Linked DNA regions of Lytechinus pictus. The protein of the gene in region 1 purifies or fractionates together with the protein of each later gene. This does not show direct contact. Links are inferred from orthologs where the notes say so. Each region holds a gene or a part of one and is shown on either strand. Other genes may lie near its edges.

Region 1 (10,279 bases):
GAGAATACTCGCGAAGAGGGCTGATCGCTAGAATCTCGAGATTGAGCAAACTTGGGCTGGCGCAGCACCGCCTAATGGGTTATTCAATGAGCCAAGTGTGTTGCTAGGTCAGTGCTTTGTTAGGCTGGGGGCCTATTTGAAGCCCTCAGGTTGATGTTACTTTACCCATAAAAAGCACCCAAATCAAAACATGCAATACCATTCATTATTCAGTGTTGAAAATAACACTTGAACTTGTGACTTGCTAAAAATGTTGTCTTGGTCTTGAAATCTAAAAGAGTGGTAAATCTAAAATGATAAATCCAAGGGTAACAGGTGGCAGTCTGAGTATGAGATGAGTGATGGATAGAGGTTGTAGTGAGACAACAGGAAGCTAATGGGGATTGGGGTGGGGTAGGGGGATCATACAGCTCAGGAAGGAGGGATCAATCAGTCACCTCCTCGTGGAGGTCAAGGGTCATTCTTCCGATTGTTTGATCAGCAATGACTTCTATACATACACAGGTTGAATGTGCCTACATGTCCACTTGCACCCCATGCTATTTGTGTTTTGTCAATTGCCATTATTATTTTATCAACAATAATTGATGGAGGAAGAGAATGCTTACTGGCTGCAAATGCCATTATGTTCCAAACTGATTCATTAAATAATAAAAAAAACGATAACATTTTCAAAATTTTGTAGGGCACTTTATATGGGTGAGATACAATAATTTGTGTTTATATTTGTCTATTGCATGTAATGGAAGTTGTTGGTCATAATTCGCTCTCTACAGTTAGAACATGAAAATTAGGATTCTATTGACAATTTTCACTTGAGGCAACTCCCATGATAACTTCTAATTTGTTTTCAATGGAATTGCTGTTTTGGTAAAGCCAAGGTTATAATGATATAGGAGGTTTCTACCAAGTAAGGTGATTTCTACAAAAATGTTTGCTGGCAAATTTGGAGACCCGACTTAACTGTTAACAAAAGTGAGACATTCACAGAGAATTCTCTTCCACAAAAATTGCAGATTTAATAATAATGATATGTGCCCCCTGGAATAGTACAAATGTACACTTATAAATGTGTGTACATACATACACTGTAAGCCGTTTACAGTATGAAATATTGAATTAAAGTAATTAGTGTTCACACATTCAATAAATACTTTGGATATTTATAGCTAAGTTTTTTAAATATTATTCCTTCCTTTCTTTTGTTTTATGTTTGTTTAATAACAGTACATTGAATTGAAACAGTAGTCTATAAAGCATTAATATCAAGGATTTGTCTATGTTCTTCAGTTGAGATTGACATTTGACCTTTAACCTGACCTCACCTGTTATCCTTCTGTTTCATGAAGATGGTGTTTCAATCATATTTCATAGCAGCTGTTTTTTTTTAAACTTGTGATGTTGATTCCAGAAGGAGCAGCATACATGTACATTAACAAATATTTTCAGTGAGAGTAACCAATATTCCTAGTATGATGCCAAGTCTTTATTCTTGTGTGAGTGTGAGATTAAAACAAATGTTTCTTCCAAAATTCCATATTTTTCATCATTGTGTTTTCATTTTTGATGAATAAGCATTTATGAATGTAACACCCTATCCTATCCTCTACTGTCATAAGTGAAAAAAATGATTTTGTGTTTTGTTATAATTCTCTTTTGAAGTCAGAAAGATGATGTTCTTACATGGAGTTCTTTGATTTTTTAATTGGTTATGGATTGCTTGTTGTCATGGAAAACAACTGATTTTTGTGTTGATTTGTGTAGATTTCAAGATTCACCTCTTCCACATCCCTGCTGGGTTTGTTTCGAGACCTGTCATCTGTTGAATGATGTTATATCCTGATTGCACAAAGGTCAAATCATGACTACTTGTTGTTCTCATGTGTTGATGCATACCTACATGTACATCTATGCACATTGGAGAATTTTATTTTTCTTCACAAGATCAGTAATATCATTTGCATAACCAGGGAATCCACAATTTCTAAGCAATACCCAAGGAACTTCAAGCTCCTTGGCATAACTACTGTAAACCTAGAAAGATTTTTTGAAGGCCTATGTATATACGTGTAGGGCCTACAGTTCTGACAAAAACAATTTTTAACAAATTCTTTATTACATAATTTACCGGCAAACATTTTTTTTCAAATTCATCCACTAAGATGTGATGTACTCTACTGTAGATTTTCAGACGAGATGTTATTGTAACAGAGTTAGAATTAGTTTACAAATCCAAGTTTTTATATTGTCAGGTCGTAGCAATGTAGAATTAGTGTTTACATGTAGGTATAAGATATTGGGGGCCTCATTTACTTATCAGCGGTTTTAATATATTTTCATGATTTGTATGATTTCTGTACCAGTAGCTGGTACATGCTTTTACGATCGTAACTTTGTATTGAGAATAGGAGTCCAGTAGCATAATTCCATTCATACTGCCTGGCTAGGTCCAGTGAATCTATAGTGATCGTAACGACTAGCTTTCAATGCGAGTTAGAATTGATGCTTCAGCTGGCGCCACTATTCCATTTCATTGCATTGGCTGTGTCTCCCCTCGTTTCCTCAATTAGTTGTAGTGACAGTCTCGGCCCAATGTAGATATGTGTGTATGCTCTTCTCTACTGGATCCCTCATCCCAGAGGGCAGTCAACTAAAATGTACAGCTGGATTCTATTAATATTTATTTTGTTTATCAATCATACATGTAAATGTACTACTGTCCCGGTACTTTGAAAGCCAAGACAAGACGTAGCAAAAAAATGATTACAATGCCTTTGTGATCTTTATCTTTTATTATGCCCATATAATATATATTTATATTATTAATACTAACATGCCCCCCCCCCCCTTTTTTTACACACTTAGTTTTTATTTGCTCCACAATGAAGCATGGGGTTTGCAGACTTTGTTTGCATATTCGTTGCTCCTTCTGATTTTCAACCCCCACAATATTTACTGTATTTTATATATACATGTATATACATATATATATAATATATTATATATAATATATTATATATATATGTATATAATATATTATTATATATAATATATAATAATCAGGTGAATGTAGGCCTACACGTTGCCCAATCATAAAATTAATCCCTTATACATCCTTCACATTTGCTCTACGGCGGAGTAGAAAACAGCCGTTTATTCATTTTTTTTCTTCAAACCACCTACATGTACTGTAGCTATGACAAAAAATGTTAAATGAAAATATAAAGCAGCATCTGGAGCTGGATTTTTAAAATTACACAACTTATTTGGGAAACCGCAGATTTTTTGGCAATTTCACATGGAAATGCAGGATTTTTCTGAACATTGCCATCTGATTTTATACAAAAGAGTTACTTTAACCATAGCTTGGGCGATTTTAAGGTTTCTTAAAAGCCAGCAAACATTTGTGATTATCATTAATTACCACCAAAAGTTGATACACAGAGCTATCAAGTGAGTGTTGAAAAGGATAGCCAAGAATATTCATTGAATATTAATGTTCCCAGTTCCCGCAGTCAGTCTGTCTGTCTCCACTGTGCTACAACTTTTTATTCCATTCTCTCTTTCACTTTACCCATTGCTCTTTAATGGAGAGAGTAGCTAGCAGCGATCATTGTTCTATTGTAACATTTCCGGTGCCAGCAGACAAGCAAGTGTGATTCTATCATTAATGGTCTTCATTACCGACTGGATAAAAAAAAAATCTTGCAAGGAATATGATATCCAAGCTGCCTGGAATATCATGTCATTTCCAATCCATGTTTGGTTATCTTAACATTATCGGATCCACATTGTTTGTGTCACTTTATCGCTTTCATATGATTTGATTGGAGATGAGAATTGAATCTTCATTCCAAAGAATCCATAAACAGTAAAAAAAAAAATTGGATGCTATTGTAGTTGCACAATGGATCTAGTACAGATGATACTTGACAAGAGGATTACTGTTCTATGTCTTCTTATTTTTGTTGTTGTGGATTGTTTACCCACCCAGATGCCCAAGTGTAAGTAGAACATCATACTTTTCATTCAGAATATTGAATATGTACAATACAACAACAAAAAACTACCCCAAATCGTATACCGAGAAAACATTTTTTTCTGTTCTGTTATTTTGTTGGTAGGTGTATATTAAGGCCTGCATGTGTAGTAAATTTTTCTTTTTCTTTTTAAAAATATTTTTGTTAATTGAAAAGCGAAAATAGACTACTTGTCCAGCTGTCAGGTGTTTCTTTATACATGTAATACTAAAGACTAGTAAAGAGCCATGATATACTGTCCATTTAGGGTCCAACTAGAAATCATTTAAAAGTATTGATTGTGTGGATAAGATGTTGAAGGAATGGAATCAGGAGGGTTGATTGGTGTAAAGGGGGGAAAGAAAGTTGAGCTTATGGTGTGTATGCACAGGTGGTCCCTCACAGCCTATCTGGGTCATGTTTGACAAGTAAACTGCCCCATCATTCAAGAATACATGTCCATCATTCAACACAATGTAATGGGCTTGATGATAGATGCTTATCGCTACAATGTAGTCCCATCTACTTTTAAAGGGCCGATGCATTTCCATGAAGCATCTAGTCGGTGATCTTCACTGACAAAGTTTCTCCTAGCCAATGAGATGCAAAGATTTCAGTAGCTTATAACAAACAGTCTATAAAAGTCACAGTTTACAAATTGTTTCATGAAATGCTACCGATATGTACATGTAGGCCTATAAAAAAGTGGTAAAAATTCATAAAGAATGCACAACTGATATCATACTTGTAACAAAAGATGGTTACTTGCATGCTTTTCTTGTATTAATTAATCTGTAGTGACTAATTTCTTTGATTATTTAATAGGGTCTGCATACATGTAATATGCTATTGAATTGCACAAAAATAGACAAGAGCAAGGTCTTTCCAGTGATTTTTCTGCTTTTTCTATGTATGGAGAATAAAATGTGATTCACTTGTTTTCCAAGAGTAATGGTATGTATCCTTTTCCTATATCATTCATAAGCATGTGCCTGTACATATCCATGATTTGTACTGATTCTAATGACGCAGGAAATAATGATAGATTCCTTTAAGCACCTCCTACTACAATCTACAATGTAATTTCCTTTGGATGTTTATGAGGTTAATATTGACCCATCTTTGTCTATACACTCAAGATAATGCAACTGGGTTCTGCTTTCATTAGAAAATAATGAAAAAAAAAGTTCCTTCAAATACACCATGTTGAATCAAGGGGTCTAAATTGTGTTTGTTGGGTCTTGACCTTGGTTCTGTATGATGTGTGCACTAACCAAACTCAAAATTATCCTCTCTCAAATATGAAGGAATCACATTTGATTTTTAAATTCCACCTCTTTAAATGAAATTCATTAAAGTGGTATTGTACAAAGTATGCAATATATCCCCCTCATAAATATGAATGAAGGATACAATCTTTATATAGACTACATATTAAAATTATTCCTTGTTCAATCATTCAAATTTATATACCCTACATATACATGTATGTATTTATTGGTCATTGAATTTGCACCCTATGCTTTTAGATTTAAACATATAATAATAAATTTACATGTAAAATTGTTAAGTATGGAAATGTTATGGAAGATTCAGAGAATTGAAGGGGATAAAATCTGGAACTAACACACATTTCTACATACTGTATATTCCAATGCCAAGAATATTTTCCAATGAATAAAGTGTTTGTGTGAACACGGAGTAACCTGTTTGCCAGGACTTCTCCAATTCTATCACACCTTAGTTGCTGAGTTCCTGTGTAAATTGAAAACTTCAACCAATGAGGGCAACTCTAGCTAGTCTTGTATCTCTGACCTTATTGAAATCCCTGCACACTCTCAGATCGTCACATAAATTCTCATGGCTCTCATCACCAGGGCTTTTGTGAAAGTTTTGCCTTTGATAAACATATTCATGTTATGAAGTATGATCATGGAAGAATATCAACTGTATGTTGTAGGATTTTTAATTTGAAAGCGATGACAACATACATTTACATGTAGCTGTGATTTTTGTTTTTGTCAACCGAGTTTACTTTGAAGATGTGACTTAAAAATTAAAAAGAATTAAAAAAAATCCATTTAATTCATTAACAGCTTGAGAATATTTGTAATGTTTAAAGATACAAGTATAGATTAGAAATACATGTGCCAGACAAAATCTCTATTTTGTTGAGTTTTGATACTGAAGGTCTGAACACCATAGACTAGTTGTACTGTAAATGAGAGTGTATGGGCAGTCATGTCATTGTGAGGAAGGGACCATTTAGTGAGTTAGCGAGGGTTAGGTCATGTGGTCTTATTAGAGTATGGGACTTGTTTGCAGGTTTTATCCTATGGGATTCTTCTCTTGTTCACCATTCTTCAGCTTTTATCTCAATATCTACTGAGGATTTTTACTCTTTTTGGATTTTACCATCATGAGTTTGCCTGGTCACCTTACAGGCGGTGAGTTTTATGCATTTTTGGCTTTGTTATGTTTTTCATCTTTTTATTAGCATCTTTCATTTGAAGGCATCACAGCTTCATTGGTGAAAAGGTGTTTGAAATTAAGGCAAATCTGGCAAATAATTAAAAATGTTTTTATGCATTTAATTTGCATTTCGAGTTTGATGGATATCACTCCAAGTATACTTGTACCGGTAATACACGCTTTCTGAAAATCAAATTCACTTCAAAATGCCAACACTTTCGAATAGCAGACATCAATCATAGTCTCTCTGAAAATTTTCCTGATGCTTTTCCTGTTCAATTATTTTACCAATTTGCATGTTTTTGGATGCTTTTGAGAAAGTGAGCATAGAAGTATAGTTTTCAATATACTGTATGACATTCTTGAAATTCCTTTCATTCAATATAGAGTTTTCTTACTTGTAGGCCAATTTCTAATCTGTTTGTTGAATTGATTAATGACACAAGAATGCCTTTTGATGTTCTCCATGTACATGTATCTGTTGGTTTTAAAATGTTTTTAAATTATACCGATGAAAAGTTGAATACTTTCACAGAGACAAGATGATGTATTGCATGGATTTTCCTACAAATTACATTCAGTATCTTCTTTCTACCCCAATGGCTTTCGTCTATTCCGATCAAGTCTTGAATCTTGGAAGTTTCTGGCATTCTTCCTGAACTTCTCTCTAATGAAGAAGAAAAGGATTTGGGTTAAGAGCTTTGAGAGATCCACCCACTAGTTCCTGATAGGGTGCAGTCCCAATCCCTGCTAAGTTAAGATATCAAAACTACATCGTGCAGCGTTGTTTGTACTAGGACTTCAATCCCAACTTTCTTCACTTGAAAATCTGCGGATAAAACTTCAGGAGGAAGATTGATGAAGGAATTCGTTTGTATGGTGATTTAAAGGAGACGTTCTTCTGCAAATCAAGATGAATATGCTCACAATCTGAAGTAGTCAGCAGTTTGAAGTTATGCTTGGTGGGGTAAAAAATGTTTGTAGTTACAAGAAGTTATTTATAAAATGTTGGTGTGGCTTTGATATTTTCATAGCTAGAAAAAAGATGGGGTGATTTCTAGGATTAGATGGTATTGAACACTAATATTTTTCAAATGCTTTTTATAAAATCAAGTTCTTAATAGCAAAATCCCTTTTCTGTGAAGTAAGGAACGAATGAATGTGATTAGTATCTGATTTACTGTACATGTACATGTAGGCTATCTCGATATGAAAACTATGCTCTTCCCTTTGTTTTCTCAAATAGCATTCTCATGGTGCATTTTGAGCACTGCTGATTTGTTTTTGAAGTTATGCTTTATTATTTTGTATTAGACTCAACACAAAATAGAGGAATTCCCTACTTCTAAGCTTCTAAACGTCCTTTTATTTATCTAGTACTTGTATCACCTGTTCAAACTGAGAATAGAAATGAATTGGCGATGTGTACAATAACTGGTAATGTACTGTGGAAGTTTATTCTACATGTATTTGGACTACAATTTTTTCTTGGTTACTTTTAAAGTGAAATTTTACTTTATGGATTGTCACCATCTATGCTGGAGTGAACCAATATTTGGGATATTGATAACAAGGCAAGTGACTTTCTATACCATATTTCAATTCCATAATCTATTAGGGGCCCTTTTTCACAAATGTTCAAACATTTTTTTATTGTAACCTTCCTTGTATCATGAAGTATTACTGCAATCTTGATTTTTAATGAAGTTTATTGTTTGAGAGATCCTCTATCTTTCATACATGTACCTCATGGCTTGTTGAAGTTTATGCGCATATTTATCCATCTGTCCCTGTAAACCTACCCTGTAGGGGGGTTGAACACCAGCAAGTAAACTCTCCTAATTGCGTCTTTCATCGAGGGACTTGTTTCTCTCAAGCTGTGTGCACTGTACTCTAGCCTTTCTTCAAGGGTTGTGTCTTTGAACATACATGTAGTAATGCCTTCAAATGTTTCTTTAGTATGATATGTAAAACAAAAAAATGGCCCTTTATAAAGCATTTATTGTTGGAGCTGGTCAGTGCAGAATCCTTGGATAAAAAAAAATGCTTAATTTATCATTACCGGTACCTTTTATAGGCTTTTAATCTTTAAAATGAATTATGATTTGAGCATGGTGTTCATCAGTTTTAACACAAAGAAAGGGTTGAGAATTTCAGAGGTAGGCCTACACAATGTACAGCCATCTAGCTCCATGGTACAGTATTTTCATTTTGTTTGATAATTCTATATTAACACACCTGTACTTTTCAGTGTATGATCAATACAACTCAAGAAGTACATGGAAGTATCCACCAGAAAGGGTTTATGGCACCTCATGAACAAAACCAGGGCAAGCTTGGGTATAAATAAACACAATTCTTGTATATTATGTACGATTGAGTATAGAGCTCTGTGCTTTTTAAATGGAATGGTAAATATTATTGTTGCTCTTCTTCTTATTGTACATGTACATGTAGTAGAGACATTGTTGAATCTTTATCATTCTCTGCATGCCTCTGGTACATGTTGATGAACACCAAACTTGCTTGTCTATGACGTACATGTAGACTGCATTTTACAATGTCTAAATCTTAAAAGAAACAAATCAAAAAGCATAATACTTGAAAGTACTGCTTTCATGTGCCTTGGACTTTGAGAACAAAAATCCTGAAGCTACTCAGATAGTACCTTTTTTTATGAAAATAATCGGCTGCAAGTACATCAGAATCCTTCAGATTCAGGTTTGGTTTAAGTCCATACATATATTTCTGAGAGTACACTGTACAATGTAGTAGGTGTCATCATGAGTGTTCAAAATGAGTTACGTAATGAGGCTAGAACACTAATTGATAAATGAGAATTGATCCATCATCACTATCTATACCTCTATAGGTGTGTTCATTGAGGTAACAGGCGGCTAATATGTGACTTCAAGTATGTCATTGAGCATCGGTGTAAAAAAGTGACATGTACATGTAGTCTCTCTTGTATATCTCTGGCAATTTGGAAAAAAAACGTTTTTATTGACCCCTTCATCTGGACATCGAAGAATCACAAAGTATATTTTGTCCATGAGAAGTGTAATGTTGTCAAGTGATTACAGCATCATGTCTCTGTAACCTTTCATTCCTGTGTCTAAAATCCTCTTAGACCAGGTGTGAGTGTTTTATTGACCCATTGGACCAATGAATGGGGGCTTCTTGGGAATCTTGGCACCTATCCACCAAGCTCTCCTCCCTCTATTGTTCCTTCTCATGGCCCTTTCTGACCCAGCGTAAACACTTCAAATCACTTTGCAATTCGAAGGATATATGCCTTATATCTATGTGCTGTCCAAGTCAAGATATATAAATAGCATCTTTTGCTTGCAAGCCCTTAAAGCTCTGCAATCTGGCAAACCATCAGGATCACACAGACAACTAAACTAGGGGTTTGTCAGATTCAACTGAACAATAAAGAAAAATAGTAGTTTTTTTTTCTTCATCTAAATCTGTATACCAAGGGGGTGGGGGGGGGGGGGGGGGGTCAAAACCTTAGCCTCTACCATTAATGCTGATTAGAAGAAAAACATTTCAAGTAAAGAAAATCATGTACATGTATCATGCAGAAATTGTTCAAGATGCAACATGTTTCTGAATCCTATATTTTTTTTGCAGATTGGTAACTAACTACAAGCACTAGGTAGGTTCCCTAGAGCATGTGGTGATGGTGACCATATAGCATAGATCTACATCTGCATTCCTACAGCATGATATTGGTTTACAATGTATTAGAACAATGTATGCTCTCTATTGAAAGCTTCTGAGTA
Region 2 (10,210 bases), about 19 Mb from region 1:
ATATCGCCGCTGACGCAATTGAGCTCAGAACAGGGTCTGTATTTCGAGGCCAAATTTGGAACCGGGTGGTAAACCCTGAACTGCGCCTCGGGGTGTATACGCGGTCTCGCTGTTATCAAGTCACGATAACATAGCAATGAGAATCGCATCATGGTAATTGACTGGGAATGTAGCTTGACCTTACTGTGTAAACACTTGAGGACACCATCGGTTCACCTTTACCCCCCCCCCCCTTCTCCCGTCGAAAGGATGTGCAAGCCAAGGAATGGGCCAGATCAGAAAGAGTGATCTCGAAGGCTTGCTCTTTCCATGGACATTACACTGTTACAGCAAAAATTGTGGCTTTGGATATTGTACATACATGTAGACATAATTGAGGACCACACTAGTCATTTTACCCCGGTGTTGATTGTTGGTGTTGGTTCAACACGTATTGATGTTATTACGACACCTTTTGGTTGCTACTTTTACACTCTGGTGTTATGTTCAATCTCTATAGGGCGTAATTTTAACACCTCAGTGTGTGGTTCCGTAGGGACACCAACTGGTGTCAACATTTCAACGAACCAGTTTGTACATGAATATATACAATGTCAGATCGTTACATTCAACATTGCTGAACCCAGGGTGGCGATCCTGGGGGCGGGGCACAGTGCCCCCCCCCCCCCCACTTTTTGAAGCACTTAAAAAGTGTCCTTTTTACGCAAGAAAAAAAATGCCCCCTCACGAACGTGTACTGTGCTCCTTTCATCTGAAGAGGACCCGTTTTAGGTGTTACCAAGTGCCCTCTCTCGTATAAGTGCCACCCCCCCAAAAGAAAATGCCCCCTCACGGACGTGTTCTGTGGTTTTGCCATTTTCACCTGAAAAGGACCCGTTTCATGTGTTAGCAAATGCCATATCTTGTATCAGTGCCAAATTTTACAAAAAATTCCCCCTCACGAACGTGTTCTATGCCCCTTTCACCTGAGACCCGTTTTATAGCAAGTGCCCTTTTGCCATCTTATAGGTGCCCTTTCTCATATCAGTGCCCCTTTTTACCCAAAGAAAGTGCCCCACACGAACGTATTCTATTCCCCTTTCACATGTTTTATGTCTGAGCAATTGCTCCATTGCCTTCTTGTAAGTGCCCTTTTTTCCCAAGAAAAGTGCCCCTTACGAACATGTCCCGTGCCCCTTTCATCTGAGAAGGACCCGTTTTACGCCGTTAGCAAGTGCCCCTTTGCTGTTTTATAGGTGCCCGTTCTCCTATCAGTATACCCCTTTTTACCTACGTAAGAAAAGTGCCCCCACGAACGTGTTCTGTGCCCGTTTCACCTGAGAAGGACTTATGTGTTTACGAGTGCCCCCTTGCCTTATCATAGGTGTCTGTTCTTCATGTAAGATAAGTTGTCCTGAAAACCACTCTTTTCGTGCCCGATGTGCCCCGGTTTCTTTATTTAGCGCCGGTTTTTTTTTTGAAAACTTTTTGAAAAACTCATTCCTTCACTGCAGATTTTCACAAAATCCACCAAAAGTATGCACAAAACTTAACAAAGTGCAAACGCGGCTCAATGATAAGCTCGGTCGCTTTTCTCCCTCGCTTTCAAGTTTTTTTCCAAAAAGTTGACGCGTGCTGCTCCCCAGCTAAAAAAAATATGCATACGGCCATGTTTAAGATAATGCCCTTTTCGAAACAAAAGGTGCCATTTTTCCCCTGTGCCCCCCCCCCTACTTTCAACTTCGCTCCGCCGTCCCTGACTGAACCGACCGGAAATATGACTCTTGTCGATAGGCCTATGGTAGGCCTTATTACTTGTGAACCAGTGTGAACTGCCTTGTCTTTTGGGAACACCGCCATAGTCTACTTGCAGGGGCCGCGGAACGGTTTTGAAAGTGGGGGGGGGGGGGGCTGACCATGCAAAAATGATAATCAGATTGTCATTTCTATGTTTTTGTACATGGTTGTGGAAAAAAGTGGGGGGGGGGGGCTGACCATGCAAAAATGATAATCAGATTGTCATTTTTATGTTTTTGTACATGGTTGTGGAAAAAAGATGCGGGGGCATGTCTCTTTACTTCAATGTCCGGATGTAATTAATAAGTTGACGTCTGAATGTACTTGATTTTTGTCCAGAATCGTGAGAGTGTCAGGTGCTCTACCCGTCATTTTTGCTGTATATTCAGGAAATGATAGCAATTTAGGGACTTGTGTTCTTTTTTTCATATTTGAATAACTTAGGTACTTGTTGATGAGATACTGCATTTCCCTGTTTTTTTTTTCAATGTTGTAACACTCATGTAAGCGTATCATTACGTTTATCTTGATTTAAGTCAAAGATTGTATGCACCTGGGTTCCAATCTAGCAAGAAAAATAGATCATGCTACGTGGCCGAAGGGTGAGGGGTAGGCAGAAAAGCAATCGGTTTGATTATACCAAGAAATGGACTGGTCTTGTTTATGAAGAGATTCTTGACAGAAGGCAATGGGAGGTGCAGGGGCATAGCCCCCGCATATAGCCACCAACCCCTTTCGAAGGGACGACACTAGATGTTATTGAATAAGCCAAATATTCTGTCTCCATATTGGTAGGTCCATGATCCTATTAAGTTTTGGTTTTTTTTCTTGTGTTTTTTCTCAGTTTAATGGATGATAATAACGTCACGTACATGCACGTGGCTTTGATAAACCACTGATAACCGTAAAAAATGTTTATGATTGTCTCTCAGTTATCATTCATCGATATCGATGCTTGTTGCGTTTGTGTATAGTTCAGTTGCACACAGTTCATACGCGAATGTATATAACATTCGATATTACATTCATGTTTTATAGTAGAAAAGTATACCTACTCACGATGTGAGTCACCGCACAGCGCCACCTATGACCGACCTGTGTCTTAATTGATGCTAAAACCGCCATTCTCCGGTTTCAAAAAGTGTATCTGATTTCAAGTCCAAGTTTCCATCCAAGATAGACAATCATCTCTCAAATGTCAGCGGGGTATTAGAGTGACAGAAATCAAACTGCCTTGCAAATTTTCTCCTTGTTGTTTGGATATCGCGATTCATCACGGGGAAATTATTGCTGGGAAGATTCGGTCGTGACATGTCATGTAAATATTCAACGTCTTTATCGGCCATTAATGGTCGGTTGACGAGCTGAGGTAAACACATCACATGGGCAGTAAATCTGTTTAAAAGGTTATTATGACAAGTCATATAGACACCCATCTCCCGTCTGTCTCGTACCTCACTGGGCGCATGGTGTATTATGAGGTCCACGAGGCCGAGTGTCCACGAGACTGATTTTCATATCGTAGGCTATTTTATTTAATCATGTTTATCAAACTTGTCTACTGAAGATACTTCCGGCTTGGGCTATTCTTTAATGTAAGCTGAAATGTAGACTGTTTCACTGTGTAAGTTTCGGTTAATAACAAATAATTATGAGAAAAACAATACGAGTAAAATCGGCCTCGTACCTGAACTATAATTCGAATCTCTTCTCGGTATATGCCAAGAGTTGCCGTGTTTACACGCTGCGTCGACTCGCGGTGTGCAACCGAGAGCCGATCATGCCGATGCACGTGTAAACACGGTAACAGATGCAACTTTTGTTATTAGTTTTGATCACGATCGTCCCAGGAGTCACACATATCCACTCCTGGGTAGAGAGAGCGAGATAGAGCCTTCTTACGCTCTACAAACTGGGGTGTTAAACTGACACCCGTTGATGTCCCAAGACGGCCACACCCTTTATTTGAACATAAAGCCAAAGAGTGTTAACCATGTTAACGACTAAAGGTGTTGTAATATAGGCATTGAACTAATATTAAATCTAACACTGGAGTATAATGACCGGTGTTGTTCGCTAGTTTGCTCGCCAAAAGAAATAGATAGCATTATTAATTCGAAAAATCGGAGGGAAAGTAATTTATGATGGTCTGACGCTGATAAAACTCAATTTCTTATCGAGAGAAAGCGGAAACTTTGGAAATTGCTCTTCTAGGGTATCCCCAAGTCCCAAGCCGAAAGTACGGGCTACCTACCCACAGCGGGTTCGTAGTACTTCCAGGTCCACTCTATATCTACCATATGTGTGCAAGGTAGGCTGGTCTTTCAGCCGGTCCGTCTGTTCAGATCACTATATACAGGTAATGATGATGCACCCTATCACCTATTACCCCATAATGATTTAAGACGTGACTTGTGAAATATCAGCTTAATCCATGGTGTAATTGCATTTCATGTCAAGCGCTGTAAATTTGACAAGAATGCAGTCATTACCCCCCAAAGGTATATATACCAGAATTATAGCAGTGGTCATGGTGTAAGGAGGGGGGGGGGGGTACTTAGGAGTGGCAGCAGTTTAGTAGCAGTGTAGTAGTAGTAGTAGTAGTAGTTCAAATTTAAACTAGAAAATCAGCACTCATAGTGCAGTCACTATACAAGCACTGTAAATGCTAAATTAGCACATCATTTTTTACAGTGTAGTAGTAGTAGTAGTAGTGGTAGCTGTAGTAGTGGTAGTAGTATTATTATTATTATTAGTAGTAGTAGTAGTAGTAGTAGTAGTAGTAGTAGTAGTAGTAGTAGTAGTAGTAGTAGTAGTAGTAGTAGTAGTAGTAATAGTGGTAGTAGTAGTAGTGGCAGTAGTAGAAGTAGTAGTAGTAGTAGTAGTAGTAGTAGTAGTAGTAGTAGTAGTAGTAGTAGTAGTAGTTGCAGTATAGTAGTAGTAGTAGTCGTAGCAGCAGCAGCAGCAGAAGTAGTAGTAGTAGTAGTAGTAGTAGTAGTAGTGCTCCTAGAGGGAATCCGAAGAGCGGACACTACATGTATATTATAACATAATCGTTTACATTATGTTTTATCAACATACTTGCATCTTATACACTGTAAAAACACTGATTAAAATTTAAAGCACGTGGTTTAAGCCCGTCACTCTAACAACTGTTTAAAAAGTGTAAACAATTACAACAAGTAATTTAACAACTTGTTGTTAGAGTGACAGGCTTAAACCATGTAAACAACGTGCTATTTTTTTAACTGTGTAGCAGAATTGTGACGGTTATTGGCTTTTAATTGTCTGAAATTAGTTTCAACAACATATTGCTTGCAAAGTTCTTGAAATCGCTGTCTTAATACATGTATATTAATGCGGAAAAGAAACCTGTCTGGTATCAGAGAACAGTGACTGGCTAAATCATGTTAAATTCTGATATTCATCGATCTGGCGATATTTCATCAATACAATTAATCCATGAGTATCATGGTTATTGTCAAGACAACACATAGATTCTGAAGACCAATCATGTCTTACGCCACCATGTGATATGTTTTTTTTTTCTGTCTATGCATGGTTGCCATGGTTTCTGCTGATTATCAGAAAGCATTATTGCCCTCGGCACGCTCCATGTATAATTGAATCCCATGACGCATGCACATTCATCATAAAAATATGAAATGAATGAAAACACTTAACATTCGTATTTCCATGATTTTTTTCTTCTTCTATGCCATTATACGTCGTACGGTTTGTCCATCGTATTAAGATATCATGCATAATAACACTCAAGATTATTTTGGTCCATGAATGCAGGCATACAGAGATATTTAGCTTCAATTGGCTTCCATCGTTCCATGTACAAAAACGATAGAAGATACAATGCATCACATCAATTCCGCAATTCCCTTTCAAATTCATGATCCATTTGTACGAAGTATGCATGTATAAATAAATACCTTCTCCCATAGATACATTATTCCTTTCCTTATGAAAAGTTAAGAAAATAATGCTACTTTCACGAATATTCATCCCCCAAAATAAACAGATACGACCATGGGTGAGGCTACAGGGGGTAAGGGCGACAGCCCCTGTGATTTCTTAAGTAGAAAGAAAAAGAAAATGGAGACGAAGACGAAGATGGGAAAAAGTGGAAGAACAGGGGGGGGGGCAGGAAGAGTATCAAAAGGAGAAATCCTGCTATTGAATTTAAAAAATGAAGTCGATAAGGTCATCGCATGGTCTGTTCGTGAGACTAACGCCCATATTTATATATGAAAGAAAATATAAGGCTGTCATCGACATATTTGTATCAAAAACCTATTCCCTTGATTATTGCCGATAGTAAATTGGAGCGAAGGGAAGATTGGATTACTTCATGTCATGAAACGTGGATCCTCATCCATGTTTTATCCCTGACATATCAAACTTAAATGTCAAGTCCACCCCAGTAAACTATTGATTTGAATAAATAGAGAAAAATCAAACTAGCATAACACTAAAAATTTCATCAAAATCGGATGTAAAATAAGAAAGTTATGGCATTTTAAAGTTTCGCTTATTTTTCACAAAACAGTGATATGCACAATTCCGTGACATGAAAATGATTCAGTCGATGATGTCCATCACTCACTATTTCTTTTGTTTTTTATTGTTTGAATTATACAATATTTCATTTTTTAGAGATTTGACCATAGGGACCGAATTGACTGAATCATATAGTATTAAACAATGCTAATTCCACATGTTCAGAGAGGAATTGATCACCGTTTCACTTGACAATGAGGAGAAAATTAGAATATTTCATATTTCATATAATGAAATACAAAAGAAATAGTGAGTGGATGACGTCACCAGTGTCCTCATTTGCATACCGACCAGGATGTGCATATAATTGTTTTGAGAAATTAAGCGAAACTTAAAAATGTCATAACTTTCTTATTTTACATCCGATTTTGATGAAATTTTCAGTGTTACGCTTGTTGGATTTTTCTTTTTTTATTCAAATCAATTTTTTGTTGGGATGGACTTGTCCTTTAAAGTACATGAAGTATCATAAATAGGCCTATTTTCCTGGAAAACCGATATAGGTGATATACTTGCCTTTGTCATGTTTATGGATCTTTACTCTCTTAAAAATGCTGAGCAACATACTGTCTACACAATGGGTTAAAACTTTATCCAATTCTGGGTAGTTTTAAACCAATAATGTGTGCTTTGGGTGAAAACTACACAGTATTGGTTGAAAACTACCCAGAGTTGCAAACAAAATTAACCAATCGTTGTGTGGACAGCATGTTGCCCAACATTTTAAGAGTGTAGGTAGCAGTGGCGTATCTACAAATAAAGCGACGAGGGTAAACGCTTCAATCGCCCCGGCCCCCATCTGGTCCCGGTTGCCTCCCCATTTGTCTGTTATAATCAAATTCAAATTTTCTCCACATTTTGCCTTTTGCGATGATTTAAAATCTGGCGGGGGGGGGGGGGGCGGGGTGATTTTGTTGTCAACTTAAATTCTAAACCCAAGTTGAATAGGACCTATGAGAATGTTACAAGTGTTTTTTTCGTTTTCCCATTTTTTTTTTCACTTTTACTTTTAATTTGGAATCATGACGAAGTGTTGCTCGTAGTTTCAGAGATCAGGGGCCCTTAACACAAAGCTTAGCAATCATTGTACTGTAGGACATTTAAAAACTATTGATTGCAGTGACTGTAGTGTACAATCAATCGTGAAAATCAAGCATACGATAAATCTTTCACTTTTGTGTAACAGGTCCCGGGAGAAAAAAATGGGAGGAATTGAAATCTTGTATTCAGAGCAGGTATTTGGAAGGTGGATAGGCTTTTATGTCCTTACATACATGGTATTGGTTATATCAAAGTGCATAATATATTATTTTATGTTTTGGTTTTTTTTATCCTGCCAATCTCCTGTAAATAATTTTTCTTGGTGATTTATAATAAAAACATAGATTTACGAAAAAGTCCGTATGAATAATGTAATATTGATAGATTCCTAGTTTGGGTAAACGCATGTATTACTTGTAGTACGAGTATGATCGGGGATTTGTTAGTGACTCACAATATTTCCTACTTGTGGACTCAACACCAGATTCTGATATGCGCCATTTTAGAATTGAAATGAAGACATCACTTGACGGTGCTGGTGGAGATTTAAAAACCCAGATGTGATACCTGCATGCCTAGCCTCGGGCCACTGTAATGAGAAACTGTCTACTTGTATGCCTATTGTAAAATAGTACAATGTACATAATATCAGCCTTCCAGTTAGGTGCGTTCACACCAATTCGATTTTTACAGGGTCACACGGCCGTATACATATTAGCCAGCTCGCGGATATTTCGCCCCCACCCCCGCCCCCAGAAAGTGTTACGCAATTTTGGGTTGCTATAAGTTTTTTCCGTGTTAGCTTGTCAGATTTCCTGGTGGGGGCAACAGAGGTGTATTATTCACGTCTGGGATCGAAATTGAACGTCACCATCCGAAAGACGTGACGGCGGCTCGAGCCTCGAACCTCTGCATCATATTTTTATCTCCCCAAATTTAGCTTGGATTACGGGCGCACGCCGCAACGCCCATAAGATGTGTGGACTGTTTATACATGTATATGGCTGTGGACTGTTAAATAACCCTTTTTCAGTTTTTACAAGTATTTTTTTTTTCTTGCAGGAAATATGCTATCGGGGATTGTTTTGTTAATTTGAATGTTCTGTGTATTCAGCTCACTTTAATTTCATCAAGTTACTATTTATCAAACAAAGTCAATGGCGTAATGATACAATATTTTCTGAGGGGCTTCGTTTTGATCTGATTTACTTCTGCTGCAAAATCATATGCAAGCGAGTGAAGCGAGCCTTTATTATGGACTCCCTTTCGACGTTGACATATATTTGCCATTTAATATGCCAGATCAGTTGAAGACCCAATGAACATCGTGATATTGACTATTGTAGTGTCAGACTTTTATTTAAATTCAATTCAATTCATTTATTTTCCTCTTTCAATCTTTTCATATTTACTAATGATAGTTCAATTTGCATATATACAACACATAACACTTTAATTCATTACAATAACATAAGATCGAAAGGGAAGGAGACCGACTTAAAAGCAGAGCTTGTAGGGTGAAGGCCCCCCCGTTTCGAAGAACATGATATAACTTATAGTAAAAAGAAAATAACAAAAATGAAATAAATGATTGAATGAATAAATAAATAAATAAATAAATAAATAAAAATGAATAAAATGGAATAAGTAAAACAGAAGTAAATAAATAATGATGTTAACAAAAGTAATCATTTGATATTGAAAAAAAAATGGAAGGGGGTCTCCTGCCCCCAACCCCACCGATACACTAATGAAAAAAACAACGTTATCTAGTCAGTCTCGAGGTCTTCTTGTACCTAAGGTTACATGCATTCCCAGACACCTTACACTCAAGAATCATTCTCATGTGGAGTCCCTCTGTGAGATGTATGTGGGCCACAAGAAAATATTCCGACAGCATATTCCTGCGGATTCCTTCCGTTCCATAAACTGTTATTCTTCGGGGGTTTTCCATAGCAAGGTCCTTTGCTGGGCTTCCTTTCTCTCCCGCTGGATAACAGACGTTACAATTGTAACTCGATCGTTTTCTCCGCAGCAAGGGAAGTCGAACCACTCTCTTCAAAGCCGTATACGGTTTCCCTCTCAATTCTTGCAGTCGTGGATGTTGTTAAGATTCTGATAACAATGGAGGCATTTCAATAGGGAGAAGTAGGGATATTGTATTCTTTTGGAGAGTGAAACGTAAATATTTTGACGACTTGCAAGAGTCAGGGTCATATTGAACATGATCACCTTCAGATGATTACGTAATACGCATGGTCAGTGCCCTTAGTAAGTAAATATAGGATCCATGATTACAGAGATGAAGTTATTTGTCAGAGAAAGTGATGAGTGATTGTGGGAATATAGTGGATTATTGTGGTTACAACATAATAATAATAATAGTTACATTTATATAGCGCTCATTACTCTTTGTTTCTAAATGATTTGCATTACAATTATTATTACCCCGGTCATCGGATCCTGGCATGCCCGCACACAATGTACAGGTATGGACATTCTCCACTCCCTGGGAGCATTCCAACAAAAGTTCCAAGACTCAGTTGTTTTTAGGCAAACTACATAGGCTTTCGCGTCCTACCGGGTACCCATTTAACACCTGGGTGGAGTGTGGAAACTTTTGCATGGATTGACGCCTTGCCTTGCCTAGGTTCTCGTCTCCTGTCATCTGTCTGATGACGCAGTCGGTAGAATTCGTGTCATACCCTGGTCAGGGAATTCTCACTAACAATTCCCTACCCTGATAATGATAGATGGGAGTTTTCTTCCAACTCTGATCAAGTATATTACAGCGGTCTCGTACATCAAATTAATATCTAGA

Evidence for each region.
Region 2: the proteins of activin receptor type-1-like (region 1) and protein DVR-1 homolog purify together in Drosophila melanogaster (affinity purification with western blotting, with the first as the bait; 3 studies listed by BioGRID). This does not show direct contact. The link is inferred for Lytechinus pictus from reciprocal best matches to the Drosophila melanogaster genes sax and gbb.

The regions. Positions count from the first base shown.
Region 1 is NC_087245.1:10,045,856-10,056,134, forward strand, and holds the start of activin receptor type-1-like, read left to right. Parts: upstream 1-6,265; 5' UTR 6,266-6,438; coding exon 6,439-6,466; intron 6,467-6,917; exon of another isoform or gene 6,918-7,458; intron 7,459-10,279.
Region 2 is NC_087245.1:29,075,299-29,085,508, reverse strand, and holds the start of protein DVR-1 homolog, read left to right. Parts: upstream 1-5,817; coding exon 5,818-5,836; intron 5,837-10,210. UniProt on the Drosophila melanogaster protein: Required for the growth of imaginal tissues and for patterning of the adult wing.